Regions from separate parts of the Mus musculus genome. Here regions 1, 3, 4, 5, 6 and 7 are each reported to be linked to region 2. Evidence: microRNA targets listed by miRTarBase, many of them from high-throughput screens and not tested one by one. Region 2 holds a microRNA gene; each other region holds the end of a gene's coding sequence. Distances are between the middles of the regions.
The links. The annotated mature microRNA mmu-miR-10a-5p reads UACCCUGUAGAUCCGAAUUUGUG and lies in region 2 at 2,999-3,021, shown strand. An mRNA with a match to its seed (bases 2 to 7 or 8) in the 3' UTR can be bound and repressed. Matches are read on the target gene's strand: a 7mer-m8 pairs with bases 2 to 8, a 7mer-A1 pairs with bases 2 to 7 and ends in A, and an 8mer does both.

Region 1 (4,078 bases), not on the chromosome of region 2:
CCTTGTGGGTGGGTGTCAGTGTCACAACTGTACCTTGAAGACTGGCAGAAAGCCCAACACTACCTAGTGAAGGCCGCCATTTCAGAGTGGGTATTCCCTGAGAGGATATGGACTGAGGATCAAGTCCAGGTCAGGAAAGTACAGCAGTGGCTTTCACTGGAGGCACCCTTTTAGGGCAGCGTAAGTGGGTCAACAACGCTTCCCGTCAGGACTTGACAGTATTTTCCACTCTCATTCCACGGATGACCTACCTAAGACCTGATTTGCCTCAGCTCGGTGAGCATGGCTGCAAGGCATTAAGAGAGGAGAAGCACGCCTTGTGTTTGATGTTCTTGGGCCATGGGTCTCCTCTGCATCCCCTCCTGAGGCTTCTTCCCAACAGCAAAGGCCCTCGCTCACCGGTCTCCCTTCCGTCTACAGGATCTCCGAGGCTGCCGGGAAGTCAAGGCAATCGGTGAAAGCCAAAGTAGCATTCTGCACCAGTGCCCCCCAGTACGGCATGCCAGGGAAGGGCAGGCACAGTGTAGCAGACTGATGCGCCCATGTGCCGCCCCAAAGAAAGCTCCAAGAAAGACTTGGCATTGCTTGTAGGATGCTGAACAAACCTCTCTCCAGCTCGAAGGTGAAGTTCAGCAGCCACTGCAGGTTTTTAAGGCTGTTTACTTCAGAATGCAATGGCAGTACCATGAATCTTCCACACCCCAATTGTGAATGCCCTTTGGGGTGATATGGTGCTCTTGGTTATCTTCTTTCACCAAGGAGACTCTCCTCTGTCATCTCTGCCGTGGCTGAAACACTCTTCCCAAGTTGGAGCTTCTTGACAGGAAAGGAGACTCACCTGGTGACAGGCAGGGCTCCTGCTCCATCCAGAGCCACATCTGGGGCAGCGAGACCCTGCACAAAGCCTCCCTCGTATGAAAGTAATAGTAACTGAGAAGAAACTACCAATAAAGAGATGCTTGTGCTAGCAGCAGTTTGTGTGTTTGAAATGAAGACTGGAGCTGGCAATGCTGCCCCGGGACAGAGCGCTTGCCTGGACTCCATGGAGCCTGCTATGGTTTAAATGCGAAATGTCTCTCATAGGCTCGTATATTTGAACACTTGGTTCCCATTGCTGAGAGGCCTTGAGGCAGGAGTCCAGTTGGATGAACTGTGTCACTGGAGGTGGGCTCTGAGGTTTCTTAGCCTTAGTCCCATTTTCTATGCACTCTCTGCTTCCTGATGGCAGACTCAGTGGGACTAGCTGGTGGTGCCTCTGCCACCTGCCTTCCTCACCATTGTGTGTGTGTGTGTGTGTGTGTGTGTGTGTGTGTGTGTGTGTGTGTGTGTGTAAATATGCACACACACACCCCTACCTGCCTTCCATCTAAAAGCCAAAATCAACCCTTTGCTTCTTATTGGCTGTTTGAGCAACCAGCATTATTTTTCTCATTGTAAGGATAAAAAGAATAGCATGGAAAACAGGCACTGGAATAGACCCACAGCCATGGTCCGGCTGACTGCAGGTCTCCGGTGTTTGGAATTGATCTGCAGGAATAATATGGAAGAGTGTAGAAGTATGGGCAGGGGAGCCCCTCAGAAGCTGAAAGCAGATCTCAGAAGACCATCCTAGGGGTGGGGGTGTCTAGATGACCAGGATGTTATGACAAATCCTGACACTAGAGGAGAATAAGGACTCTGTTAAGACCTGGGCTACATTGTCCTACATTACAACAAGGAATCTGTCTGCATTCTGCGCATGTGCCAAGACCTCATATACCTAAAGTATATGTACTTGAGACCTCATGGTCATGTAGTGGACTACTGTGTTTGATGGGTGAGCCTCTAAGACACAATTGCAGTCAGGTGTGGTGGAGTTGCTCACTGTTCTTATCCAGAGAGCTACAAGTGGAACAGAGGGATGGAGGGTGCAGCATCTGGTGGGGAAAGGAATGGGCCTAAAATTAGAGATAGGGTCGGTACAAAAGCAGCCTGGAAGTTAAAGTGATTAGCTGCCCCTTTAAAAAGAAATCTAGTGTTCTTTACTGGGACACTAGGAAAGCTGTCCTGAGGGCAGAACCCCACCCACTAAAGGCTCCAAATCTGGAAAAAGCAAATGTATTTGAAGGTTGTTAAGAGAGCCTGAACTGAGAATGTAGGGGGCCCTGCTTAGAAATGAATACCTGGAAATAGAGACCTGAGTGACTGTGGTCCAAGTGGGCCAGATTGTATTGCAAGGTGGCAGTGGGACATGACGACATTATTGTGCAAATATGCGAAACTCAAGTGGGGGAGGTGGGTCACAGAAGTTGGCACCAAGGCTCTGAAAGGCACTGAGGCCATTGTGTGCTGTAACAGTGACGCCTGAGCTGTGATGGAGACCTCAGGATGCTGGAGACACCAGGACCACACAGGAGGCGTCAGCTGAAGGACTCTGCAGCAGACTCATGCTGTCCTATAAGAGACCATGAGCTTCAGGCTGCAGAACTGTAGCAGCAGGTATACCCAAGCTCTTCAGAGCCCAAATGCTTCTACTGTGAGCCTCGGGTATGTAGAGCTGAAGGGTTTGGTATTTATTTGCCCTGCTGGGTTTTGATCTTACTTTAGTATGACCTTCCCTTGTTATGGAGTGGGAAAACTCTGTGCTGCTGATGTTGGAAGTATGATTTCCTCCTTGGACTGAATACATGTTGCATTATGAAATGGCCATGGGCCTCTGGAGACAGGGGCAAAACGCTGTGGTTTGATTGTGAAATGCCCCCTATACAGTTGTATGTTTGAATATTTTGTCCCAGGATAGGTTGGGCCTAGAGGAAGTGGATCAGTGGGGGGTGGGCCTTGAGGTTTCATCACCCCACCCCATATCCCGCCTACACTTTGCTTCCTGACTGTGTTTGCAGTGTGGCCAACCACCTCAGATTACGGCTGATCTGCCCTCACTGCCATGATGGGCTGTATCCCCTCGAACTGTAAGCCAGAACCAGCCCTTCTTCCTTGTTTCTTGTCAAGTATTTGATCACAACCATGAAAAAAAAAGTAACTAAGAGGTGACCCTCAGCTTGACCTCCAGAAGTGCCAACAAATGCTTGCACTCCGATGCATCACCGGATGATGGTGCTGAGGCCCTCGTGGAGTGGCTTGGGAGGAGGACACTGGCTCGATACTTCCTTGTCTCTCGTGGCCGCTATCCTAGGCAGGAAGGACAACTGCTACTAGAGCTTGCATACCCTCTACTGCCATGTCCAGAGTGGCCTTCATTCTTCTCAGGGGATGCCACAGGTGGGCAAGGGTGACAAAGCTAAGCAGTAAGCTTAGCTCTCTTTCTCTTATTCCATGGCTCACGCCAATGAGGCCACAGGCCATTGCTAAGAGGGCAACAGGACTGCAGTATAAACCTTTTGTGTCACGCCCACTTGTTCATAGTGACTCTTCAAGAACTGAAGGAGAAAATAAACATGATAGGGTGGTTGGCAGGGCCCTCTGTCTCCTCAGGAGTGCGGCAGCTCAGCAGGCAAACCATCTTTGCTTATGCCTCTTCTCTCAGACTCAGGGCTGTGGGGTGGCAGCAAGGTACACAATTATTTGTGGTCACTGAAGAGTATGCCGTCTAACTGAAGAAGTGTGTTTCAACATGGCTAGTTGGAAACAAATCTTAAAAACAGAGGCTGCCAGAGGCTTCCTTGGCCCTGAAGTCTTATGTCTGAGTCCTTAGCCCCCAACGACATGTAGAGAGAGATTCTCTGAAGGATGCTAAGATCACAAGGCAGCATCAGGGGTGCAGAGCACTGGCTGGTGGGATCAATGTCCTTATAAAGAAGAGAACCAAGAGAAAACATCTCTCTCTACTCCACGAAGACAGCAGTAAAGTGGCTGTCTGCAAGCCTATCAAAACTAAATCTGTGAGCATCCGTGGTTTGTATTCTCCGACCTCCAGACCTCAGATATAAACCTGCATTGCCAAAGCTACCCAGCAGCACAGCCAGACGACACTCGAGCTGCTGGGAATATAGTTTAGAATCACAAGTAATAAACTCCTCTTTAAATGTTAGCTCCTGCCCCAAGAAGGATAGGCTGACCAGCATAAAGAGTGGTACGCTGG
Region 2 (4,078 bases):
ACCGTTGACTGAGGCCTGCTTTCTAGGGTTTAGATGCCCAGTGACACACTCTCTGCCCTTCAGGTGCCAGTGCCAGCATAGTTGTTTAGTGTTCGGGCCTCCGAAGGATTCCCTCCACGGGGTCACACGGTCTTGCTCTCAGCGCTGGGCACGGGAGCTGGCAAAAATATTGGAATGATGGAAAAATCAAAGCAAAGGCGGGTCAGCTTGAATCGCATTGGAATGGAGACTTTTGGGGGTTGGGGGTTGGGTGGGGGAACAGAGAAAAGTAGAACTGGAGAGGGTAAACTGAATCAAATCCTGCTCTGTCGTTTTTCTCCCAAGTAATGACCTGCGCAAAATTCAATATGACCGAGCGAACTGCGTGAGCATATTATACTAACTGCCTGCTCGTGGGGGAGGCCCGGAGAGGGGTGAACCGCAGGTCACGGCGTCTAAAAATTATTAAAATGTTCGAGAACCTCGTGACGCGCCTGCTGTTTAACAAAGACTGCCAAAGTATGAGATTAATACGAAAACTTGCTCTTCAAAAACAAAAACACACCAAAAAAAAAAAAAAAAAAGTCCTTTTCCGGCCTCCGAGGGGGCATGTGGTTCCACTGCCCGCAGCCGCGGTTCGGTTTTCCGGATACACAATAGTGGACAGGAGCGAGCTCCGCTGTTGCTCAGCGGGCCACGGCCGGTCGGCTTGGAGCAGGCGGGGAGCGGCTGGGTGAGTACTCTTGCCGGCTCAGGCCCTTGCTATGCTCAACGCGCTTGGGGTGCCCGGACCCGCTAGAGACTGACCTCCGGTTGGCCCTCGGGTTCCTGTTCCTCTCTGTTTCCCTTCCAACTCGTCCATAAAAGGTGGATGATTTTTCTGTGCCGCCGGGGGTAGGCCTGTGATGGCGGAGAAGGGCTGGGCTGGGCAGCGAGGGGTCACACTAGCAACCTGTGGCTGCCAGGAGAAGGCAGCCAAGTGGCCTCTAAAGGATCCGGAGCACTAGAGATAGGGCAGAGAGCGTGCCCAAGCCCCTGGCTCTGCGTGTTTTCATTGTTATGGTTATTGTTGTTGGTATTCTAGACATAGAGAGGTGAGGCTGCGTGTAGCTGCAATGAAACCTGTCCTGGAGTTGCAGATAAATCCTGTCTTCCGCCCCTGGCGTCTACACAGGGAGGGAGTGTGGATGGGGGTTGCAGCTGCGCCTTGGTGGGAGGGCAGGTGGTGGCTCTCCTATTCGCAAAAGCGAAAATCTCAGTGCTCCGGCCCTAGGTTCAACCATACCCAGCTTTGCATCTCTCTATCCCTATTCCTCTCCCTTGGAGCTCAGGAAACCTGGGCCACATCCCTTGTTAAAGCATAGATCAGCAAAATGTAGACTAGCTGCTCTCTGAAACAGAGTTAGACCAGTATTCAAGAGCAGGACAGGAGATATGGGATAGGGGAGGGGCCTGGACATTGGAGTGGGTCGTGGTACTTCTAAATACCTTTTGAGAGGACTGTTCTTGCTTGATGCTTGGGTCAAAGCAGCACACTTTGTCTATGGGTGACTAAATTGAACCCCGTCTTTGATGAAGATCAAAACTACAATGTATTTTCTCTGACTCTCTCTCCAGTTAAGTATGAGTCTGGCCTATAGGAGGGCATTGGGGTTAGAAAACAAACCCAGAGGACAACATTGCCATGCCTAGATCTATGAGGTTTAACAATAACAGCAGCAGCAGCAACAACAACAACAACAACAACAACAAAGACTGAGGTCTCTGGACCCAGTTGCCTGCAGGTGGGAGCTCTCCTGCCCATTTGCAAGGGTTCCTGGTGTGTGCATGCGTGGGTTTGGCTTGTTTGTGTATGTTCATGAAATTGACTGTGTTGTAATTTACTCAGTAAGGGCAGAAGTATCCCCCAAGCCTAGGGTGTTATAGCGGTGGTGATAGTGAGAAAGACTCTGCTGGACACACTTGCCCTCACCTGGTCACAGCTCTCCCAGTTTAAACTCCAGATCCTCAATTTCTCATTTTTTCAGTTTAGAAAAGTCAAATGTTAGTGGGAGCTTCAGGAAGTTCACCCAAAAACTCCAGAATCCCATTTTGGCCACACAGCCAGCAACCCAAGCAGGTGGATGGGCCCAGTTAGTGAGCCTCTAGACAGAGGATCCTTGCCTGGGGATAAGGTGTGGGTAGGGGGGGTCCTCCTCACACCTCTAGGGGGGTGTCCCCTTATTCCAGCCTCCAGGAGGTATGGGGGGGATATGTGAGGTTGGGAGGGGCCTGCACATCATCTGGCTGCAACTTTTATGGTTCCTCATTGCCCTTCATTCGGAAATGAACTGCCTTTGATCTTCTTCTCAGGTTGTAAACGGAATTGCCCGTCATTAAATATGGGGGGGGGGGCCATCTGTTTGGTCTCCCAGCATTTTTCCTCACAGCTGTTTTTCTCTCTCTTTTTAGCATTCACTTTTTCCAAAAGGACTTTTATTACACCCCCTTCACACCCAGACACCTCTCCCTCCTCCCTTTGCTTTGGAAAATATCTATATATGTGTTTGATCACAAACTAAAGGCTGTGGGGGCAAGGGAGGAACCTATTTGGGGTTTTGTATTTTTTCTTAAAAAAAAAAAAGTCATGGGGGGAGGGGAGGGGCCGAGGGCACCCAGAAAGGCCTGATTCTGACTTCGAGGCAGCCTCGGGATGACCCTTCCTTCTTTTGTGCTTAGCTAATGTTTACATCTAATAATTCATGCGCCACCGAAAGTCGCGCGGCAGCCACGAGGTTCGAGTCCCTTTGCACAACAGCTGCCTTTTTAAAAAATCTTATTTTATTTTTTGAATAGAAAGTTGAAACCCCTTGTAATCCCAAGAACGGACCCACAGTGACTTTTCTGCTCCCAGATCTCAAAATTAAAACAAAACGAAATAAAAATGAAAACATTCAGATCACACCCAAAAGAAGAACGCACGGAAAGTAAGAGAACTGGAAATTTCCTGGGCCAAGAAGACCTGTCTGTCTTCTGTATATACCCTGTAGATCCGAATTTGTGTAAGGAATTTTGTGGTCACAAATTCGTATCTAGGGGAATATGTAGTTGACATAAACACTCCGCTCATATTCTTTCCCAGAAGAAAAATAGATTATTTTCTAAATGAGGACAATCCAGTGACTGCCTTCAAGAAGACTCCTTTTCTTTTCCTCCCTCAACCAATGAGGGAGAAATCTCATCTACCTGAGGTGTCCCCATGCACACCCCTGGAAGCTTGGGTCCTTGTTCACTCAAGAGATTAATGTTACTGGTGTTTTAAAATTTATCTTTAAGCCCCAACCTACCTATTCTTATTCTGGGTCCAGGGGGCTTTATTGGAAATCATGAGGAGGAAAAAAAGATTGCTGAAGGCTGCAGTGTGCAAAGGCAAAGGAAATTTGCTTTTTAAAAGGATGCGAAGATTGCTGTTTCGTTGAATTCAAGACAAGATGCCCTGAAAACATAAGGTTGCCATGGGTGTTCTTGTGCGTGTGATGTTGGTGGGGGCGTCACAGCTAGGGCTCCTTTACTTAGTATTCAAGGTTGTGAAATTTCTTTCTGCCACACTGACAGAGGCGGCGGCTTTAGCGGCAATTAGAACTCTTGGTTAGCATTGCTTCGACGAATCTGGAATTAGCAAATTACTATTCAATTGGTTTTAGGAACTTGCGGGTTTGGTTTGGTTTCATTGTATCTTCTGTCTTTAGTGGAGGGAGTCCAGCCGTTCCTCTGACCTTGGGCCTTGTGGGTTAAAGGGAGGGAGTGTTGAGGAGGACAGACTGACGGACACAGCCGATGCTCATAGTGCAGCTAAATGCGATTTGGAAGGCGAAGTCTCCCCGAATTAGTGCGTGAATTTCCTATCGATCTGCTCGCGGTTCCATTCATCTCTGACAAGTCCCTCTGCGCACCCGCCTTCTAGCTCCCGACGCCTCCTCACTCACCTCCTACCCCTCCCCATCTGGCTGCACTGAGAAGCCCCAAGCTCAGCGCCCCTATGACCTAGTGGGTACCCATTTCAAGAAGGCGCTCCCTGGTCGGCCAACCACTTAAAACCCCACACAGACACCTAGTGCGT
Region 3 (4,078 bases), not on the chromosome of region 2:
GCAGAGTGATGGCAGCTGAGACAAGACTCATGTGAAGTTTCGCTAAGTCAGACTCATGTGCTGAGGCCAGACCCATGGAGAACATGTGATGTTTGCAGGGAGTATAAATAGGACTCAACAGACAATGACAGAGGTGGGGCTTGGCTTGCTGGTACAGCCCGCTGTGCGATGCTTGTTTATCTCCACACTTCCCGAGAGAGGCACAGCCCAGAACTTCTTCTGAATGTCCTTCCTGGTCCCTCCTGCTGACTTGTACCAATTCATCTCAGGCCTGGCCATCCCTGCTAGGTCATGCCACTGCTGCTGCTATCCCAACACTACTGTACTGAACTGCTGGTATACCCAAGAAGTGTTGGCAAGTGAAGAATTCCCATACACCAAGGGGAATCAGCCTTCTGCTCTGGTCATTCTTGACTCTTTCAGGTCTTTACAGATTCTTCAGATTTCAGATGAAGCTTTTCATATTAATATAAAGTACTTCAAATACATTCAAAACTAAAACAAGATACTTAGACTAGACAGAGCAACCCTACATGACACAGTATATCACTTAGCAGTCAGTACCCTACATGACACAGTGTATCACTTAGCACTCAGTACTCTACATCACCCAGTGCATCACTTAGCAGTCAGTGCCCTACATCACACAGGGTGTAACTTAGCACTCAGTACCCTACATGACACAGTGCATCACTTAGCAGTCAGTGCCCTACATCACACAGTGTATCACTTAGCACTCAGTACCCTACATGACACAGTGCATCACTTAGCAGTCAGTGCCCTACATCACACAGTGTATCACTTAGCACTCAGTACCCTACATGACACAGTGCATCACTTAGCAGTCAGTGCCCTACACTACACAATGTTTCACTTAGCAGTCAGTCTAGGATGGAAAAATAAAGATTTCCTCGTCCAAAGGATCAAGATCGCACCTCCATCTAAACTCACTAGTATGTGGCTGAGGCAGATAACATACCAGAGCACTACTTTCCTTATCCATAAAATGAGAACAAGCAACAGTCCCATGCTAAGAGGCTGTTATGAGAACTGAACGAGGTATCCTGTATATCTGTATATACAATGTTAACTGCAAACAGTGGACTAGTATTTACTGTAAATACTAGACTTTATTTCAAAAATATAAAGCACACACAACAAAACATCATTGCCTTTCCTGGGGGAGGGGTTAGTTCATGTATGTTTATTCTAATGTTTTCAGCTTTTCAAAATGGAAACCTTGATCTTACCAACTTACAATAACACACACACGTGCGCATCATTTAATGCAGGGAACTTCATAAGAAGGGTTATGTTTTCACATAACTATTGAAAAAAAAAGCATGTAAAGAATAGTTTTACTAACAGAACGTAGGTATGAAAACCAAAAACCATAGGTCAGAATGTAAAACGCCTCTAAGGTTTAATCTAGCCCCTATTTTACATTAAGAAACTGCCTGAACAGACCGATGGACACACCCTGGTACTGGCTTCAGGCCTGCAGTGGTAGCACCACGTTGGAAAAGAATTATTTCTTTTACTCTTCCAACATCTAATTTTATGGCACAGTTTTATAATTCCTGCCACTTCATTTTCTTCATCTAACAGAACAGACCTGCTTTGTGAGGACACTAGCAAATTGGCTTCATAAACTACGGAGGAGCCAGGCCTGGAGGAGAACCTCTAATCTACCTGCCACCCGGGGAGTGGGAGGCAGGAGGACTGCAAATTTGAAGTCTGCCATCTTGAGCTACCTAGTGAAACCCTGTCTAAATCAAAACAAAACAACAGAAAAGAACAATGATTTCCAAGAGGGAGACGTTAATTAACATAATGACCAGTTAAGGAGCTCCAAACAGTCTTTCCTACTCGATGTCAATCCAAAAGGGACGAAAATACTTTTTTGTACTATGTTCAGCATGTAGAAAATAAAATTTTTCTTTAATTTGAAAAAAAAATTGACCCAGTATTATACAAAAACATTATTTAAATTTTTATCATTGGAAAATAATTCAAAAATTGTATAAACAAGAATATGTACTGCCATGTCTGAAAGGTATATAAAACATTTTCAGCTAAAACAGACCAAATTGGGCTGGATGTCAATGTGGTCTATGAAGCACTATCAGCTAATTTTATACTATTAACAAAAATTTTAATTTATAAAGAACATCCTGGGATTTACAGACACTGTTTAAGTATCATGCTGTTCTATGAACATTATCCCATTTCTAGTCAGAGTTTTGTTCACTGCCCAAGGACTGGGCAATCACCTGCTAGCACAGCACCCAAGGTAGTTCACACACTGAAACTTTAGTATAGCTTTGCACAACTGAATAGAACAGTACTAATGACATCAAATGAGCACATTATAGAAAGAGAACATCAGGTTTAATACCTTATAAAATATGTACAAAACTTGAGCATTCCTGTGAAATACAATTCAAGTCATAATTGTAAATGTAATTGGATACTCTGATACAATGGAAAGGTCTAGTGGGTTATCAAAAAAAAAAAAAAAAAGCATGTAAACTATACAAGATAAAAAGCACTTTAACCCTGGATTTAAAATCATCTTTCAAACGTAAATATATATTTACAATTCTTAAATTTCACATACTTGTTAATTTTATATGATCTTAAGTGTTAGGAAAAAATGTAAAGCCAAAAATAATCCTATTCATTTGTTAAAAGTCAATATAAGAAAAACAGTGGTGGGGAACGTGGCCGATATAATGTATCGTATTTCCCCTGAAATACAAAGGCAGGAATGCTGTCATTTGCAGTCATAAAACAGACTTAGCCAAAACTGCCTTAGCAGTTTCAGTTTGGAGAAGTCACCGCAGGAAAAGTGATGATACCGGTCCACGACGTTAACTCCTGAACCAGCACTCAGAGAAGCTGTGTGAGTTCAAGGCCAGCCTGGTCTACAGCGTAAGTTCTAGGTCAGCCAGGGCTACACAGAGAAACCCTGTCTGGAAAACCAAAAACAACCTGATTCTAAATAACAGTCACCTGAGGGCTGCTGCAAAGATTGATTAGACGGTCTACCTGGAGGAACACACTGCCTGGCGTGTGAACCTTCACATCAAAGCTCAACACACATCACAGCTCACACCAGGACCTTTCTTGACATTTAAAATATCAAGCAACATTTTAATTCTTAATACAAGAATCAATGTTGAAACTGTAAAATCCTTAATTGGAGTGTTCAGCCCAGTCAATTATCAAAAGCCATTTATAAAATGCTTCAATACTGGAGATAGGAAACTGATGGAATTAAAGCCACGGAAACTTTGTAATGATCACAAAGTTTTAACTTCCCAGATTAGAGTCCAAAGTCAGTTTGCCTCTGGAGAGAATTGCAGAGACATCGTGCAGGCAGATGCACCTCTCCCTTCTCCCGCAACTGGCATCTCTCTAAGGTTTCCGTCTGTCATAATCTCCCACCATCCTCTTGATGTGCGATAATTTGCTCTTCAACTGCTTGCAGTAATTCCTCTTACTTTTATAATCTGCAGACTGAGACAGAGAGAGTAAATCACATAAATGCCAACACACTAAAGAATGAGACTCTAGCTGGGCAGTGGTGGCACACGCCTTTAATCCCAGCACTCGGGAGGCAGAGGCAGGTGGATTTCTGAGTTCGATGCCAGCCTGGTCTACAGAGTGAGTTCCAGGACAACCAGGTCTTTACAGAGAAACCCTGTCTCGAAAAAACAAAAAAATTTAAAAATGAAATAAAACTCTAGAAGTGTCACTGGATATATTAACTACACTCATGGCAGAACCCAATGCAAAACTCCATGGTTTTTTGTTTTGTATTGTTTGTGGGCTTTTTGTTTGGGTGTTTTGTTTTGTTTTGTTTTGTTTTAACATACTGGGTTTTTGTTTCTGATTTTCCTTTAAAAAAAAAAAAGGAATGATTTATTTATTTTATGTATATAAGTACACGGTAGCTCTCTTCAGACACACCAGAAGAGGGCATCGGTTTCTATTACAGATGTTTTTGAGCCATCATGTGGTTGCTGGGAATTGAACTCCAGACTTACTGGAAGAGCAGCCAGTGTTCTTAACC
Region 4 (4,078 bases), not on the chromosome of region 2:
AAAGGAGGGATGTTAGCATACAGGTGATTCCACCAGGCTCCTCCCAGGGACCTAGCAACAGTCCTCACGTGCCACTGCAGCCAGGTGCTTCAGGTGCGGGCTGTGTATACAAGGATTGCCCACTATCTAGCTCTTTCTCCTTTCTCTCTCTGTTACCATGTGTTTCTGGACAGTCTCTCCCCCCCCCCCCCCGTTCTACTCGTCTGCTTCTACCCCTTCTCTGGGTCCTCACTCCCCTCCCCTCCCCCAAATAAATCACCTTATACCAGATTTGTTGCTTGGTGTAACTTCTCAGGGGTGTGCTTTGTCATGAGTCCACCGGGTACCCCCTTGACGCATTATATTTCATAACAGAAATAGCTATGATTATTGTTGATGGCCACACTTCTCCCATGACTGTGGGAATATGGGAGCCTCTTTGTGGAAAAGGTGTATATGTGTGGTGGGGATTGGGGGAGCCGGAGTGTTAGAGTGTCTATGGGGGAGGGTGCAGACTTCCCTGCAACGGCATAAGCTATGACATGCTACTTGTATTTGGGCCTGTTTCACAAACTTGGCATGAGACTCTGATAAGGTCTGACTCAGAGAATTTTAACGGCAACACTTGCTGAAGGTACTCTCTTTCTGTTTTCTGCTGAACATCAGCTACAGAGACTTCATGGAAAATTGAGATCAATGAAGCCAAAAGGAGACTGATGGAGAACATCGTACTCTACAAAGAAGAGAGACTGGACAGCAGCGAGCTCTTTGGACCCTGATGACCAGCGCACAGCTGAAGACCCTTATTCTCAACTGGACAGACAAACGTCCAGGCAGGGAAGAGGTCTTTGGCTGCCCAAGGTCTGTTGAGACCCACACAACCCAAACATCAGCCTGAACAGAAGGAAACATGGCTTCATCAGAGTCGAGTTGCAGGGGGGTGGGGGTAGGGGACCTCAGCTTATACAGACACCATATCCAGGAAGCACTCCTCCTCTCTGAGTCGTCTTAGTTAGAGGGCTGTGAAGTGGAACACCTTGTATGTGATCCAAGGATTTGGGTGGTTTTTGTGGTTCCGGGGAACCCACGTTGTTGACCACCCCAAGAGATGCTGTTGCCCCCAAACCTCTTAGTTCTCCACAACGGACAGAGCAATCCTGCAGCATCCGTGGCGTTTTCCAGAGTTATCATCTGTCAGTCATATTTGTAGACAGCTTTCTGCAAATTCCCACTTCTTAAAAGACCTACAGCCGGTGTCTCCGCAAGTTCTCAAGTTCAGGACTGCAAAAGCAGGACGGTTGGCAAAGGACTCCGTAGGCTTTCTCCTTCTTCAGTTGGTGATCCTGTAAGCCACCGGTATTTAGGAACTGCCTGCTTTTCACCTTCGACCTCCCATTGTGCCCATATTTATTTTAATGGAGACTCAGAGGTTGTGTGTTATTTATAGCTAGGTGAAGAAGCATGAGAAACAGTCTCATGTTTGATTCTGCTGCTAGTTAAGTCAATCACTTGGTGGGTGGTAGCTCAGTATCCTTGTAAGATAACCCTGCTCTGTTCTCCCTGGGGAAGAACAGAGCTGCTCTATTCAGCTCTTGGGAGGATGGGTGCAGCGGCTGCAGAAGCACTTTGAAAATGTATCTGTTCTGTGTTCTCAATGGAGTAAAAGGTATGTAGTTCATGGCTCTGCCATGTAGAAAATGTTTATGAAGTGAATATATTTTTGAAAAGTCATGTTGCAAACATGTTTTGTAAAACAAAGCTATTTCTTTCTTTTTTTTTTTGTTTTTTTTTTGTTTTTTCGAGACAGGGTTTCTCTGTATAGCCCTGGCTGTCCGGGACCTCACTTTGTAGACCAGGCTGGCCTCGAACTCAGAAATCCGCCTGCCTCTGCCTCCCGAGTGCTGGGATTAAAGGCGTGCGCCACCATGCCCGGCTAACAAAGCTATTTCTAATTCACTATTTAAAAAAAGAATTCCATTATAGTGACAAAATAAAAATGTTTGTAATCTAGCAGCTGTCTTATAATTTTGTGTCTGGGTGAATTTGTGTACCGAATATGTTTGGCTCAAGGATTCTTGCTTTTGCTTTCATTTCTGTATGTATTGTTTGTACAATGTATGTATGCATATTTATGTATGTGCATGTGGTGTGCACACAACCATGTGCATATGGAGCTCAAGAGATGACTTGGGTTTTCAATCCTTCTTCCACAAGGTATGTATGTATGTATGTATGTATGTATGTATGTATGTATTTTAGTTTGCTGTTACACAAGGCTAGCTGGCCCATCTCTGTTGATGTAGAAGTGCTTAGATTGTATATACCCTTGCTGTACAGCCAGCTTTTATGTGGGTCCTGGTATTTGAACTTAAGACTTCATGGTTGTGGCCAGTGATTTAGTACATTGTCACTTTAGGGAGGGTTTTTATCAGCAATGCCACCTTTGCAGGGCTTGGGGCACTTGTATAACCCTTCATGGATATTAAAGTTGCTTTTATTTTTACTGTTACAAATAGGGATGGTTGCCAGGTGGTGGTGGCAGCACACACGTGTCTCTAATCCCAGCACTTGGGAGGCAGAGGCAGGCAGAATTTTATGAGTTTGAGACCAGCCTGGTTGGCAGACCTAGTTCCAGGACAGTCAAGATTTCACAGAGAGAGCCTGTCTTGAAAGAATCAAATCAAACCAAAACAACAAAACGACACCCCCCCCCCCAAAAAAAAAAGAAAAACCCCACAAACAAATAGAGATGGCTTCTGGGATGGTTAACCTTCACTGTGAACTTGGGTTAACAACCCTCTAGGAGTTAGATATGCTCTGGCTGTGACTAGGAGGGAGTTTACCGAGAGGATGAACTGAAGACAGAAGACTCTGAGTATGGGAGGTGCTATTCCATGGGTTTGGCTCCTGCATTGGGTAATTAAAAAAAAAAAAAAAAGTGAAGGCCAGCTGAGTGTGGAGAGCCTTTAGTTCTTGCCACCACAGCTGTTGGCCAAGAGCAGTCTGGGAATGAAGTAGTAGGACAAACTCTTTTCTTTACTGTTTTGGTTCTGGGGGGCGGGGGCATTTTAAGTGTCACAGGCTGGTCTGGAATTCCTGACCCTCCCCTCCAACACCTCCAGAGGGCTGCGATTACTTACAGACTTGTGTGACACCTGGGTAATTTGGTGATTAGGATCAAAAGCTTGCTTCTCCTGTAAGTGCTCTGCTATTGAGCTGCAATCATTACCTTTTCTGGGGTTGGTGTGGGAAGGTTTGAAACAGGGTCTCAAGAAGTTAGGAGGTGACCTTGAACTCTGGATCCTCTGTCCTACGGCTCTCTTGATGTGGGGTTATATCTCTTCTTTTCTTTCTCTCTCTCTCTCTTTTTTTTTCTTTTCTTTTGATCTCACTCGGAAGCCTAGGTTGATCGGAACTCATTAGCTATCCCAAACTGGCTTCGAACTCAGCAGTTCCCCAGCCTCAGCGACCCAAATGGAATTACCAATGTGAGCTACTATGGCTGCTTCAGGCACCTCTCTGTTCTCCCCACCCCCCGCTATTAAAATTTTTTTAGTTGTAGTCAGGTTCTAAAACGTCTAGGCTGGACTTTGTCAATCGTCCTGCCTCTTCTTCCTGAGCAGTTGGTTTTACAGGTCTATCCGGCAGGCCTGGTTCTGTTTTTTGTGTGTGTATGGCTTGTGCCTGCTAACCCCAATTCCGTCACTTTCTGGGTGTGTCGCTTGGTTTTTATCGAGCCACAGTTTCCTGCGTTGTTTTTTTTAAAAAAAAAAAAAAAAGGGGGAGGGGGGATGGGTGAGTAGGTGAGTGAGTGACAATGTTTGGCACGCGCGTCCGGTACCAAGAGGCCCGCCAAGTTACCCTCCATCGGTATTTTCGGCTCCCGGGCGTCCCCAGCAGGCCCTTCGCGCGGATCCAGGGCCACGTGAGAAGCTCCGCCACATATCGCTCCCAACCAACCACAGAGCTTCGTGAGGCGTAGGGGCACGCCCCAGAACGTCGGACCAACAGGCGCGCTCCGTCTTGCCCGAAGTCACGCCCCTCTCCCGTTGGAGCAATCGGCGCCGTCCCTGACGCCGGCTCCGCCCCTGCCGCACGC
Region 5 (4,078 bases), not on the chromosome of region 2:
CATGGCTTGTCCCACCTGTCCCTCACTCCTCTCTCCCAAGTCCTGAAACTAACAGCCCATCAGTCCTTGGAGAATACTTTCTGTCAACCTTGTCTCACCTAACATATAAAAATGATTTCTGTATTCCCCTGGGTGCATGGAGAATGACACTAATCATGTCCCTGTAGATTCCATTCCAGAGATGGATTGCTGTTTTCTAAGTAAAGCATTGTCATGTTCTTTCTCAGGCATATATTCAGCTTGCTAAAGATGATAGGATTCGTTACGACAATGAAATGAAGTCTTGGGAAGAGCAGATGGCTGAAGTTGGACGAAGTGATCTCATCCGTCGAAGTGTGAAACGATCCGGAGACATCTCTGAGCATTAAGATGGAAGACGGAGTTGTCATTGGGATTAGGCCCAAGAAACCAGTTAGGTCTCAAAGCCTTAAAGTGTCAAACTAGAACGGATAAAGGTGGTTAACCTTTGACATTCAGATCATTTTTCTGTAGCCATGGACTTTCTGTTAATACTTTGAGCCTTGACAGAAGATGATGCTGAGTTCTGCCTTTTGCTTAAGAACTGGAACGGAGACTGTCCATGCATCTGCATGCAGTGGTGAATCATTCTGCATTTGATGGGCTAGATAGACTGTGAAGTGACTTTCACACTGGTGACAGTTGTGTGGTGGTTTTGTGATGTTTTTACACTGATGACCGTTACATATGGGTGTGGCCCTTGGGTCCCAGGCCGGACCTGCTCTCCCAGCTGTGGCAGAGCTGTGGATAACTGCATTTTCAAAGAAGCTGCCAGGCTTTCCTAGATGAAATGATTCCTAGACATAAATCATGTGTAAGTTGATGTTTGTATATAATAAGCGATTGCTGATGTCCTGATAGCATTTTATAGTAGTAACAGAGAGATTTACACATCTTTCTCAAATTAAGAAATTATGTACCAAGTCTATGCATAGGTTTTTCTTGCATAGAATAAAAACTCTAATTTTCCAAACATGTTTCTGAAATTATGTATTTTAAGATGAACCATTTGGTTAACAGATTTTTTTTTTTTCAATTTTAGGTAGGGACTTTAGAAATTACTTTTCATTTGAGAGTATTCATAGAGCTTGTGTGGTATAAATTTTTAAATGAGAAAATGTGAAAAACAAGTCTGCAAAGTCAGAAATCTGAAAGCTTATCCATGACAGCTAAAGGCCTATGCAGGAGAAAGCCAACTGTGGTGAGCCAGCCAGGTCCAGCTCACTAACTGCTCTTCAGGGCCTACTCATCAAGAAATGGATTTATGTTCTAAATAGGTTTTTAAAAAGGAAAGTATCAGTGTGAAAATTAATATGATCTTTAGTGTTTGTGAATAGAATTTCTTGGAACACAGCCACATGCTTTCTTGGGTTTGTTGTGTGTGGGTGCTCTGTGCTCCAGAGACTACACTGGGAAACCACAGCATACAGGGATGGCCCTTCGCAGACAGTTTGCCACCATGGTGTCTCACGGCCACTGGCCATGCAAGGCTTTTCCTCAGATGTCCTTGATGTTTCTGTGATATTGTCACCCTATCTTGGGGTCATCACTGGGTCCCTATAAGCCTAACTGTTCTCTGTGTTAGCAAGGAAAATATTCTTTAACCTGGAATCCTGGTGTAGCACAGTACAGAAGACCACTGTGTGGAGCGAGACCCTCCTAATCTTTACTGTTGCACAGGAAAAAGTGTCTTCCCCACTTTGAGCTGGCAAATCCCATAAGCCCTTAGAGAACTCATGGCTTCAACCACCACACCACTGAGCAGATCTCTGAGACACAGGACAACAGAGTTCATACTCATGTATGTTTTGTATTGAGGAGGCTTAGAGATTGTACATTTTGGGAAAGTAAGTTTGCAGTCACTGAACTTGACAAGGTAGGAACAGAAGAACGCATGGAGGAGAGATGTAAGAGTTATATATGTAAAACAGGGTATTTGAGCTGGGTAGAAAACTTGCCTAGAATGTACAAGGCCTTGGATCCAAATCCCAGAACTGCAACTCTCCCCAGAAGAGATAATCAGAATTTTAGAGATGAATTTAAGAAAATATAATTTTTCCCGTGGATTGGAATTCTGGGTTGTTGGATGGCATGGGTTTAAGCCATAGTTTGAAGGTGGTGGAAGGAGGCCAGTGTGAACCAGTGCAGTCTGTCTTTCCAAAGTGCAAATCCAGGAGAGACGTGAGCTCTACACGCCCCTGGTTTCTGGAAAGGAACTAACTCCAAGCTGTCCTTAGAATGGAGAAAATGGTGACTCAGAGAATTGACCATGTGCTTCAGAGCAACTCAGGAGCAGCAGGCACTACAGCGATACAGGGATGCCCGGACCTCTAAGATGTAACTACTTAGCTCCTAGCTTTCCAGGCACCCTGCAGAGTGTTCAAGGACTCGGAGCTCAGTCTGGGAAGGGAATGGGAAAGGTAGAGGCCTGGGCGGAAGCCTTCTCATGGTACTTGGTTCAGTTTGGTTTTCCTTGTTTGTAAAACAAGCTTACTGATAACATTGTAATCTGCTTTCCATGTCCTGTTTTCTAACGACAGAGTCTCTTTTAAGCAAAAGCAGTTGCCAGAGGATCGGGGAGGTGTTGGGAGGAGCTGAAGGCATGCGGTGAAGCTGCACAAGCTGACAAGGGCTCAGTGCTGTTTCTACTTATTGTCATGTAACTGCAATTGGGCTGCCCTGTTTTCCAGTATCCTTAAAAACAACAAACCCTAGTTGGTCTAAGTGTGAACCTCTGAATTTAAAGCTGGTGTTAGCATACGGATGTACAGTAGCTAGAAAGCCTTCCTGGGTTCACCCGCACGCACTGGACCACCAGGGGGCGCTGAAACCACAGCTTTAATGCAGACGGAGCCATAGTGCCCATCAGTTCTGTTTGGCCATATTATAAGAATTTTCTTCCTCTGATAGCAACCCTCCTTTCTCCCAGGTTTTGTTTATTTGTTTTTGTTTGTTTGTTTGTTTGTTTGTTTGTTTTTCGAGACAGGGTTTCTCTGCGTTGCCCTGCCTGTCCTGTAACTCACTTTGTAGACCAGCTGGCTGTAGACTCGGAGACCTACCTCAGATTAAGTGCTGAGATTAAGAGCTTGCCTCACCACCACCATCAGGCTTCCTCCCTCCTCTTCCGAATTTGCCACCAGCCTGTCACTGACAAGTTTGCAAATGCTAAAACAGTGCCTGTATGTTTTGAAGTGTAAAGAACATATTTCTTTTTTTGTAATTGAGCTTAAGAGATAAAATGAATGTATTACTCATTTGTAAAACTTCCTAAGCAAAAGGTAAAATTATGCACAACTGGTAACCATCAATTGTTTATCATTCACAAATCAAATATTTTCGTTATTTAACCACTGATAGTAATTCATTATAAAACCATTCTTTTGCACAGTTAGGAATGCTGACCAAGAAACTGCATTATTTAAATTAAATGCTAAACAAGAATTTGAAACCTGTTTTTTTTTTTTTTTAACATTTAAATCAGACTCACTAGAAACTATAATGGTTTCTGATACAAACATGAAGTCCAAGAGGATCAAATGGTAAAAGATGTATTTGCACATTCCTTCTGGATAGAAAATGGTAAAAGTTGGTGAATCCCCAGCATCCTTTGATCCAGAATGTTCCTAATCTTAACCCTTAAGCATTGGCAGTGCAAGGAAAGCCTTTGTGACAGGTCATAGGAAGTGGAAACAGCTGGAAATATGTGAGGTGACCTTCAGGGTGTGTGTGTGTGTGTGTGTGTGTGTGTGTGTGTACAAACGAATTTAATTTTTGGATTTGGGTTTTACCCCAAAATCTCTTACGTAATTTTTAAAAATTTATTTTTATTTCTTGGGCATTGGTGTTTTGCCTGCATGTATTCCTGTGTGAGGGTGTCAGATTTCTTGTATCTGCAGTTACATGAGGGGCCTAGGAACTGAACCCGACTTCTCTACAAGAACAGCCAGCCCACTTAAATGATGAGCCATCTCTGCAGTCTGTAAAATTTTAAGTTTCTAACATCTGAAATTTGTACAACGTGCGCTAGGATAAGGAGCCTGCGTAACATCCTTGAAGCCCT
Region 6 (4,000 bases), not on the chromosome of region 2:
TATTTTACAGCATTTTCAATTTTGAAATAATCGCATGTACTTTACCAGTTGACACTGAAAAAAAATGTAGGTTAGTGATAGTTAATTTGTAATGTCTGTACTGTCGCCTGCTCTCCCCCATTTCTCCTTCCAACTGAGACTCTATTTGTGCCTTACAGCAATGGTTCAGTATGTACAAACCCATCACCTACAACACAAGCCTGCTCACAGAAGAGTCCGACAACTTTGTGAACAAGCTAGACCCCAGCAAAGTGTTCAAGAGCAAGAACAAGATTTTAATCCCAAAAAAGAAAGGGCCTGTACCACCTGCCAGTGGTCAGAAAGGGCCTGGGCCCTTACCTCCTCCTACCTCTAAGCCTACCACAGGCTCTGGAAATCCTGTCCGAAAATAAGCATTCTATCACCTCAGTAATATCCAGACACAGATGGCCCTGTGGCAGCGGCATTCTCCTGAGAGACCAAAGCCTTAGGCCTTTGTTTCCACTGTCATTAGCTAGGGGCTGGGACGATCACACTGAATTCTCCTCAGGAGTTCCTTCCTCTGTAGGTTGTGACAACCTCATCTCCAAAGCCAACGAAGACTTTCAGATGTACCTGAGCTTTCTTATGTCTGTACCCAATCCTTAACTTCTTAGCAGTAATTAGAGAGGTCACCCTCCCAAATAAACCCATGGTTTGACTCATGAAGCATCAGTATCGACTAGTTATGTGACCATCTCAGTTAATGAAAATTGCACACCTTCAGTTGCATTCACCACACTTCAGCTATGCACCTGATGGTAGAGTCCATATTGGACAGCACAGAAAGGGGAAGGTTTTTGTCACAGAAGTGTTTTGGACAACATTGCATGTGAACACGTTCATACTGTCCTTCAGATACAATAACGTAATGCCTTAGTTTCATACGCTTTATGTTTTGAGAAAACATTTTCAAAGACAGTCTTGTGTTCTTTACAACCTAGACCAGGAATGCTTAAAGGTGTGATCCCTAGACTTAGAATTGTGCACCAAAGTCACTGGTATCATGTGGGGATAAGATGATTGGATTCCAGTTCTGATCTGCAAAATAAGAATTTCCAAGAAAAATTCCAGGTGTCAGGGTTTTCTTTTTAAGACAAGGTCTCACTATATAGTTTAGGCTGACCTATAGCTCACACACCCTATATAGCTTCCTGACACACACACACACACCCTGTCACTAACGTTTTAATTACAGATGTACAGTATCATGCGTAACATTGGATTTTTAGTCAATTTAACAGTACTTCTGAGTTTGAAACTTTCAGCTTAAGATCTCAGTGGTTTCAAACCACAAAGTTTCTTTGTAATTGGGTAAAGCACGTATAACTTTTTTGTTTTTTTTTTTTTGTTTTTTTTTTTTTGAAACAGGGTTTTTCTGTGTAGTCCTGGCTGTCCTGGAACTCATGGAGTTGTGGCTGCTAAATGACTTAGTGCATAGAGTTAGTTATCCTGTCCTTCCTTTGTAATGTGACCCTACGGTTGCTAATTATGACCTTCCTGCTAGCAGCTGTGATCTCTTAAGTCGTTCATTTTTTGCTTGCAAGACACCAGTTGGGTTCTCACTTGTGCCTTTATACCTGTCCTTTCCTTGTGAGGTTCAGCTCTAGTCTGCCTCTACTCAAAGCTCAGTGAAGCTCCAACTCCCCTAGGTGAGCAGTGATTTTTTTGTGCTTCTCCAGAAAGCCATCCTAATCAATTCTGCATTAACCCAAATAAATGTGTCATATTTTAGGGCAATAAATTAGAATGAATGAGTAAAGTTGTGAAAATGTTTAACTTTAAAAATTGAGAAGACAATAATTGCCTTATTTTAGAGTCTGGATATCTTTCACTCATCTTACGGTCTGTGTCACAAAACCATCAAAATGAAATAGGTTACACATGAAGCCATGAATGCCACTGGTCTTTTCTGCACCCAGAAACTATGTTGTACCCAGATACTACCTAACTGGATATCCCACCAATAACTGTCTTGATAAGGCTCTAAAAGACCAAAAAGTAACTCGTGAGACATGGTGGGATGTGAAACTTCTTACCCTGTATCTAGGAAAAGTTCTTCAACACCATTGATGCTGTTTCTTCAGATGTAAAATGAAAATTTATGGAAGGGCTATAAAACTATTAAATAATGCAAATGGAGTACACATGGAGATGCTTTCAGTAAGCAACAGCTTTTAAAATAGCATTCAGAAAGTCCATTTTCTCCCCATGAATTACCTAACCAACAGAACCAATTGCTTTACCAGATGATTTTTTGACAAAATTGATTATTTTAACACCTATCTTTACTGTCTATTTCAAAGCCATTAGCTTTCTTATAAAATCGCAAAGACATTTCATTCCTGAAGCAATTTGGTACTTTTGTGGTGTAGTTACCTCTCTGATAAAATGATTTCTAATCAAAACTAGAAATAGCTAAAGAATGGGGGATAACTGAAATTTAATTGGATGACAGCCTCCCACAGCTTCTGTTAGACCTCCTGAGGAGAAGGATCAAGGCTCTCATTTTCCCAACTGACCACCCAGCCCTGTCACAGAGCTACCTACAAACCTGGCCCTTAGTGCATAGTTTGTTCTACTGTGTTTTCAGGACCTGATGGCTTAATACACATAAGTTTACCCGTGTGTATTTCTGCAGGCCAGAAGTTCAATGTCAGTTTTATAGAGCCAAAATCTAGTTGTCACTGGGCCAGGACTTGGGAGGCTCCTATAGAGTCTGTCCCTGCTTCCTCCTGCAGATTGTTGTTTGGGTTCATATCACTTCAGTCCTGTTGCTTTCACTTCGTCTTCTCTTTCTCCAAATCTCTTCTGACTGTCCTTTATAAGGACACTTATGATTGGATTTGAGGCATGTCGGACACTACAGGATGATCTTCTCACACCTGCAAGGAATCCTTACAAAGGAATTGTACATTTCAGAGATTAGAACCGGAGGCCCCAGAGATGTTGAGTCAATGTATTACAGTAGTGTTTGCTACTTCACCATTTCAAGGGACTGTGGATATAAATGATTGTTTTGAAGGCCATAACGGATCTATAAGCCACTTTAGAGCTGGGAAACTAAGCTGCCGTTTGTACCCCTGCTCATCTTCTCTACATTGTGTTCAACAATGAACCTTGAAGAAAATAAAACCCAGGTCTCCAGCCTTCCCCAGCCCCGTGCATGCGCATTCTCCTTCACCCCCAATTCCTTTTGAGTAAGTTACTTGTTAAAATAAATCCTTAAGGTTCAAAACAAAATCAGGTATCTTCAACAAAATAATGTTTGCCTTTCATCACTTCCGAGCACTTACGGGAAGATAAAGTCACAAGAGAGTGTCAGTGGTAATGACCTAAAAGACTAGCAATGACACAGGTAAGGTACTATGCTCTTTAACATTCACAAAGGTCCTAGAGAGCAATTTAATGCCATAAAATTAAAAATTGCTAATACAAGGCTTAGAGAGATGGCTTAGGCTTCTCTTACAGAGGACTGGACTTTTTATTCCAGGGGATCTTACGCCTCTTCTGATTTCTGCACACACACACACACACACACACACACACACACACACATCACAGCTTCAGCTTGCTACCTAGGTCACACCAGGACAACTAGCCCACAGGGACAGTAGGTAGTCATATGAAGATAACTAGCCACTTGAACAAAGATATCCACCTGTCAGACATTGTCCACTAATGAGCTGATAGCACCCCCTAAAGTAAGGCCCTGCAGCCTACATATTTCTTTTGTCTTTAAAAACTTCCCTCTGCATAGCTTCCATATGCACCTAGCAGTGTACTGTAGTGTAATCACACATACTCAGGATCACAACATCCTGCTATTCCCAAATAAACTGAAACTCAGCTATTTCTCTGATTTTAAATTGTCAGTGGTGTTTGGAGAAATTATATTTGATTTTACCAAATTCTTACATACACTATCTTTAGTCTTTTACCACCCACCCTAGGGAAGAGAAAAAAAGGGGGAAAGGAAAGA
Region 7 (4,078 bases), 26 Mb from region 2:
AGGACTCGGGGCAGCGACCTAGACGACGGCGCCCACCACCCTTCTTCTATCGAAGGCGGTTTGTGCGAGGCCCTCGGCCCCCCAACCAGCAACAGCCCATAGAGGTGAGAGGAGAGTTGCAGCCGGGGAGGCTAGTTCTCTTACATTATGGAAAGAAGTTGGGGAGTTGTGAGGGCAGAGACTGTGGTCCTCACAGGAAGTAGAACGAAGAGCAAGGAAGCTCCAAAGACATCAGGCGTTCCACAGCCCACCTAGGCCTTTGTGTATTCCCAGGGCTCTGATGGGGTAGAACCCAAGGAGACAGCACCATTGGAGGGTGATCAACAGCAGGGAGATGAACGGGTGCCCCCACCCAGATTCCGGCCCAGGTACCGAAGGTAAGACTGTTGTTTTGTCTTCCCCTTCAGGGTCCAGTGTTGGGCCTGTGTGAAATGACAAAAGTTCTAGAGCCTGGAACAGATGGGGACAAACCAAGGAATCCTGGGAAGGGAGTCTGCCCAATTCTCTGATCCTGTCAGCTTGTTTCTCTTTCTAGGCCTTTCCGCCCCAGGCCACCCCAACAGCCTACCACAGAAGGTGGGGATGGAGAGACCAAGCCCAGCCAAGGCCCCACTGATGGCTCCCGGCCTGAGCCCCAGCGTCCACGAAACCGTCCCTACTTCCAGCGGCGTCGGCAGCAGCCCCCTGGCCCCCGGCAGCCTATAGCCGCAGAGGTGAGGGTCTTGGTACTTTCTGTCCTTTTGCACCTCTACTTTCCTTGTCCCTGTCCCTCTGGCATCCTCCCTGGCCCACCCCTGGCTGGCATTACTCACCAGGAAACCCCTATGCAGGCAAGTCAAGCCCAGGGTGCCTTTGCATGTCCCATCCCCATGCCCATCTTTGGGGTGTGAAGTGTGAGAACTGGTTGGAAGGGATGAGAAGAGGAAAGTTAAGAAAAGGTTGAAGTAGGGGGCTGTAAACAAGTAAGTCTCAGTTCACCACTGCTCTTCAGACCTCCGCGCCTATCAACAGTGGGGACCCCCCCACCACCATACTGGAGTGATTCCAACTCAGAGGACACCCAGAGCTACCATCTGGTGAGTGCTACATCTCACCAAGAGCCGGAGAGGGGGAGGGGTGGTGGATTCTGCCAAGTGACCCTTTATGATTGGTCTCCCTCTCTTTCTCTTAGGTATCTGCCAGTTTCCAACTGACTCTACCCAGCATCCCCCTCCCCACTTTCCCATAATTCATGACATCAAAACATCGGCTTTTCCCTTGAGACTCAGGAGGGCCAAAGCACCAGCCTTTGGCTTTTTTCTCTTTTTTTTCCCTCTCCCCTAGCATGGGTTGAAGGAAGGGATCCATCCTTATTGTTCCGAGGCATCACCTCCCTCCCTAGTCAGGCTGAGAAGGAACCAGCCAGCTCATACCTCCTCCTGATTGTTTTTCTTCCCCACCCATTTATTTTTTGTTTCCCTTCGACCTCCCCCCAACACCTCTGAAGCCATTTTATGAACTGTCATGTGCCACCTGAGCCTCCAGTAAAAACAAAAGCAGGCTTTCTTGTTGTCCTGGTCTCTGGCTCTTCTGTTTGAGGATGAAGACTCTCTGGTGGGGCTGAGACCCGAACAGTGGGCAGGGCCTGCTAGTACTTCCTTGCTCCAGTACCCCTAGCTATTCAGTTGTGACATGAACCCTTTCACCAAGAGTAACTGGATCTGTTACTGGGGGTGAAGTCTCAGCAGTGCCCAGGCACTTGTAAATACAGTTTACAAACCACTTACTGTTCATTTAGGCAGTGGATAAGGGCTGGAGAGATAGATCAGTGGTTAAGAGCACCGACTGCTCTTCTAGAGGTCCTGAGTTTAATTCCCAGCAACCACATGGTGGCTCACAACCATCTATAACAGAATCTGATGCCCTCTTCTGGTGTGTCTGAAGACGGTGACAGTGTACTCACATAAAATAAGTAAATCTTTAAGCAGTGGATAAAAATCAAAGTAGAAAGATGTGCCAGCGCTCAGAGAGCTGAGACAGGATTCCTAATTCCAGGTCATCCTGAGCCACGTTTCTGTTTCCAGAAAACAAATTGTTTTAAAAAGTAGAGCATTTGGGTTCAGGCCTGCAAACCAGCTCTCTGGAAGGCTGAGGCAAGAGGTTTGCTACAAGGCAGCCTGGGCTATGCAGTGAAACCCTAGTTTTTGGAGGAGGGCAATGAAAGTGGATGTAAATAAGTGACAGCTGGGCATGGTGGCACACGCACACCTTTAATCCCAGCAATCGGGAGGCAGAGGCAGGCGGATTTCTTGAGTTCAAGGCCAGCCTGGTCTACAAAGTGAGTTCCAGGACAGAGAAACCCTGTCTCGAAACCCGCCCCCCCCTAAAAAAAAGGTGACAGAATCTAGAGGCCTCGGTGCCCTGAGCCCAGGAAGGATGAAGTGCAAAGGGTGAGTGAGGCATTTTCTTTTTGCACACCCTCCAGTTCCTCCAGCACAGGACACTCATCTTCAAACAGTGACTTTATGGACGAATCTCTATATACACATTTAATACAGCAGCCCTTGGGTTTCTGCTCCCTATCCGTTCTTCAAAACATACAAAAATACCAAAGGCTCCCTCCCAACCAGTGTTTATAGGCAGCCTTTCAAATCCCCTCCCGCCCTTAGTTGGTCAGAAGCTTTCGGGTTTAGCACCCTTCCTGGAGGGGAACAAGAAAGTGTTGGTACCTACGCTTTGCAGCCCTGGGAACAACCTAGGGCCCCAAATGGAGACTGATGCGCTCTAACCGTCCTTGCCCTGTCAGGTATGTACTATTGTGTTCCTTTGCCCGGGAGGGTGGAGCCTGTGGGGAGGCAGGGCTAGATTTTGGGAGGGTGTATCCTTTGCCCTGGAGGGGTCAAGACAACCCCCTTCACCCAGAGCCTGTGTGGCAAGAGTTCAGTGGAAGTGCCAGTTTGTGGGAGGAAAGCACTCGCTCACACACCCACCCCTGCTGTTTATCCTGATGAATTCAGGGCCACCCCACCCTCCTGCAGACCCCTTCTCGAAAGGGGAGGAAAGTAGTCTAGAGCTGAGTCTGGGTAGGGGCAGGAGGAAGGCAGGACGGAGAAAGCCCATCTAGGTGGCCACAGCCTAGCCACACACATAAATAATCCAAAAGAATCACACAGGGGGAATGAGGGGTACATGGACCACCCCTCCCTTCAGCTTCCCAGTTCCCCAGGCTGCTGTTCCTTCAACCTGGAGGTAACAGGGAAGAGAGGGCTAAAGTGCTGTAGAGGAAAGGAGGGAGTCTGGGTGGAGAGGGTGGCTCTCCCACCCTGTTTTGCCCCTCAGTCATTCTCATCTGGCCCTAAGTATTCAAGTTCTGTACTGGGTTTCACCTCCTGCTCTAAAAGGGAAGGTGTCCGTCGGAAGGCAGCTGAGATCTGGTCAAACGTCCGGCCTCTGGTTTCAGGCACTTTTAGGAAGGTGAAGATGAAGAAGCCAAGCAGGAGGACGGCAAATAGAAGGAAGACGTAAGGACCCATAGCATCCTGGGACAGTTGGAGAAAGAAATGTTGACAGAGATGGGAAGCCAGGAACCAAAGACTAAGGAAACTGGGGCTATGTGAGGAGCAGGTTTGCTCCCTTAAGAGGCAGTGGCAATGACCAGAAATGAAAGCTTTCACTGAAAATCTCATTTAGCTTTTTTACCCTTTGCTCTCCTAAGTGTACAATTGGAGTAGATTTCTAAACCACTTATAGCATTAATAGAAAGTTTAAATTATACCACTGGTTTATTTTTTAGAAGACTTCTAAATCTAAGCTGCTGGATTTCCACCTATTTCCACCCATCTATTTCCGCCTGCCTCCCCCTTGATTGTGGTGAAGTAGTTCCACCAGACCTATCTTCCAGAGACCACCTACATGGCTGGGAGTCCCTGACCAGACAGTGAGGGAACTGGGGGGGGGGGGCCGGGAGGATTTGCCTTCCCTCTGGCCACGGATGTGGGAAACTGGGCAAAGGGTAGGGAACCTACCGCAACATACTGGAAACCCATGCCGACAATGAAGTTACAGGTCCAGTTGGAGAAACCAGCGACAGCCATGGCGG

Region 1: miRTarBase lists Ttc23 as a target of mmu-miR-10a-5p. The part of its 3' UTR that is shown has no 7-base or 8-base seed match.
Region 3: miRTarBase lists Ocln as a target of mmu-miR-10a-5p. Seed matches in the 3' UTR shown: 7mer-m8 at 2,969-2,975 and 7mer-m8 at 1,763-1,769.
Region 4: miRTarBase lists Irak2 as a target of mmu-miR-10a-5p. Seed matches in the 3' UTR shown: 7mer-m8 at 1,783-1,789.
Region 5: the mRNA of Tfam is a reported target of mmu-miR-10a-5p. Seed matches in the 3' UTR shown: 8mer at 1,946-1,953 and 7mer-m8 at 3,001-3,007.
Region 6: miRTarBase lists Tpgs2 as a target of mmu-miR-10a-5p. Seed matches in the 3' UTR shown: 7mer-m8 at 1,386-1,392.
Region 7: miRTarBase lists Slc2a4 as a target of mmu-miR-10a-5p. Seed matches in the 3' UTR shown: 7mer-m8 at 3,300-3,306 and 7mer-m8 at 2,338-2,344.

The regions. Positions count from the first base shown.
Region 1 is chr7:67,725,608-67,729,685 of GRCm38, forward strand. Ttc23 (tetratricopeptide repeat domain 23) reads left to right here. Exons shown (of 11, transcript NM_001168475.1): 11 at 421-969. The coding sequence ends at 535. Among named protein-coding and RNA genes, the nearest start is that of Gm34140, 10 kb to the left of the region's middle.
Region 2 is chr11:96,314,188-96,318,265 of GRCm38, forward strand. Mir10a (microRNA 10a) reads left to right here and starts at 2,978; the gene lies at 2,978-3,087. It also overlaps a transcript of Hoxb3 not described here.
Region 3 is chr13:100,495,394-100,499,471 of GRCm38, forward strand. It overlaps Ocln (occludin), which reads right to left. Exons shown (of 9, transcript NM_001360536.1): 9 at 1,111-3,522. The coding sequence ends at 3,421. Among named protein-coding and RNA genes, the nearest start is that of Gtf2h2, 4.8 kb to the left of the region's middle.
Region 4 is chr6:113,693,023-113,697,100 of GRCm38, forward strand. Irak2 (interleukin-1 receptor-associated kinase 2) reads left to right here. Exons shown (of 13, transcript NM_172161.4): 13 at 646-2,004. The coding sequence ends at 758. It overlaps Tatdn2 (TatD DNase domain containing 2), which reads left to right and starts at 4,028. Exons shown (of 8, transcript NM_001347356.1): 1 at 4,028-4,078.
Region 5 is chr10:71,224,849-71,228,926 of GRCm38, reverse strand. Tfam (transcription factor A, mitochondrial) reads left to right here. Exons shown (of 7, transcript NM_009360.4): 7 at 228-3,450. The coding sequence ends at 368. Among named protein-coding and RNA genes, the nearest start is that of Tfam, 11 kb to the left of the region's middle.
Region 6 is chr18:25,135,298-25,139,297 of GRCm38, reverse strand. It overlaps Tpgs2 (tubulin polyglutamylase complex subunit 2), which reads left to right. Exons shown (of 7, transcript NM_001004361.2): 7 at 159-3,261. The coding sequence ends at 392. Among named protein-coding and RNA genes, the nearest start is that of Tpgs2, 32 kb to the left of the region's middle.
Region 7 is chr11:69,940,055-69,944,132 of GRCm38, forward strand. Slc2a4 (solute carrier family 2 (facilitated glucose transporter), member 4) reads right to left here. Exons shown (of 11, transcript NM_009204.2): 10 at 4,005-4,078; 11 at 2,232-3,518. The coding sequence ends at 3,315. It overlaps Ybx2 (Y box protein 2), which reads left to right. Exons shown (of 9, transcript NM_016875.3): 5 at 1-104; 6 at 274-377; 7 at 536-713; 8 at 992-1,076; 9 at 1,172-1,549. The coding sequence ends at 1,042. Among named protein-coding and RNA genes, the nearest start is that of Slc2a4, 6.1 kb to the right of the region's middle.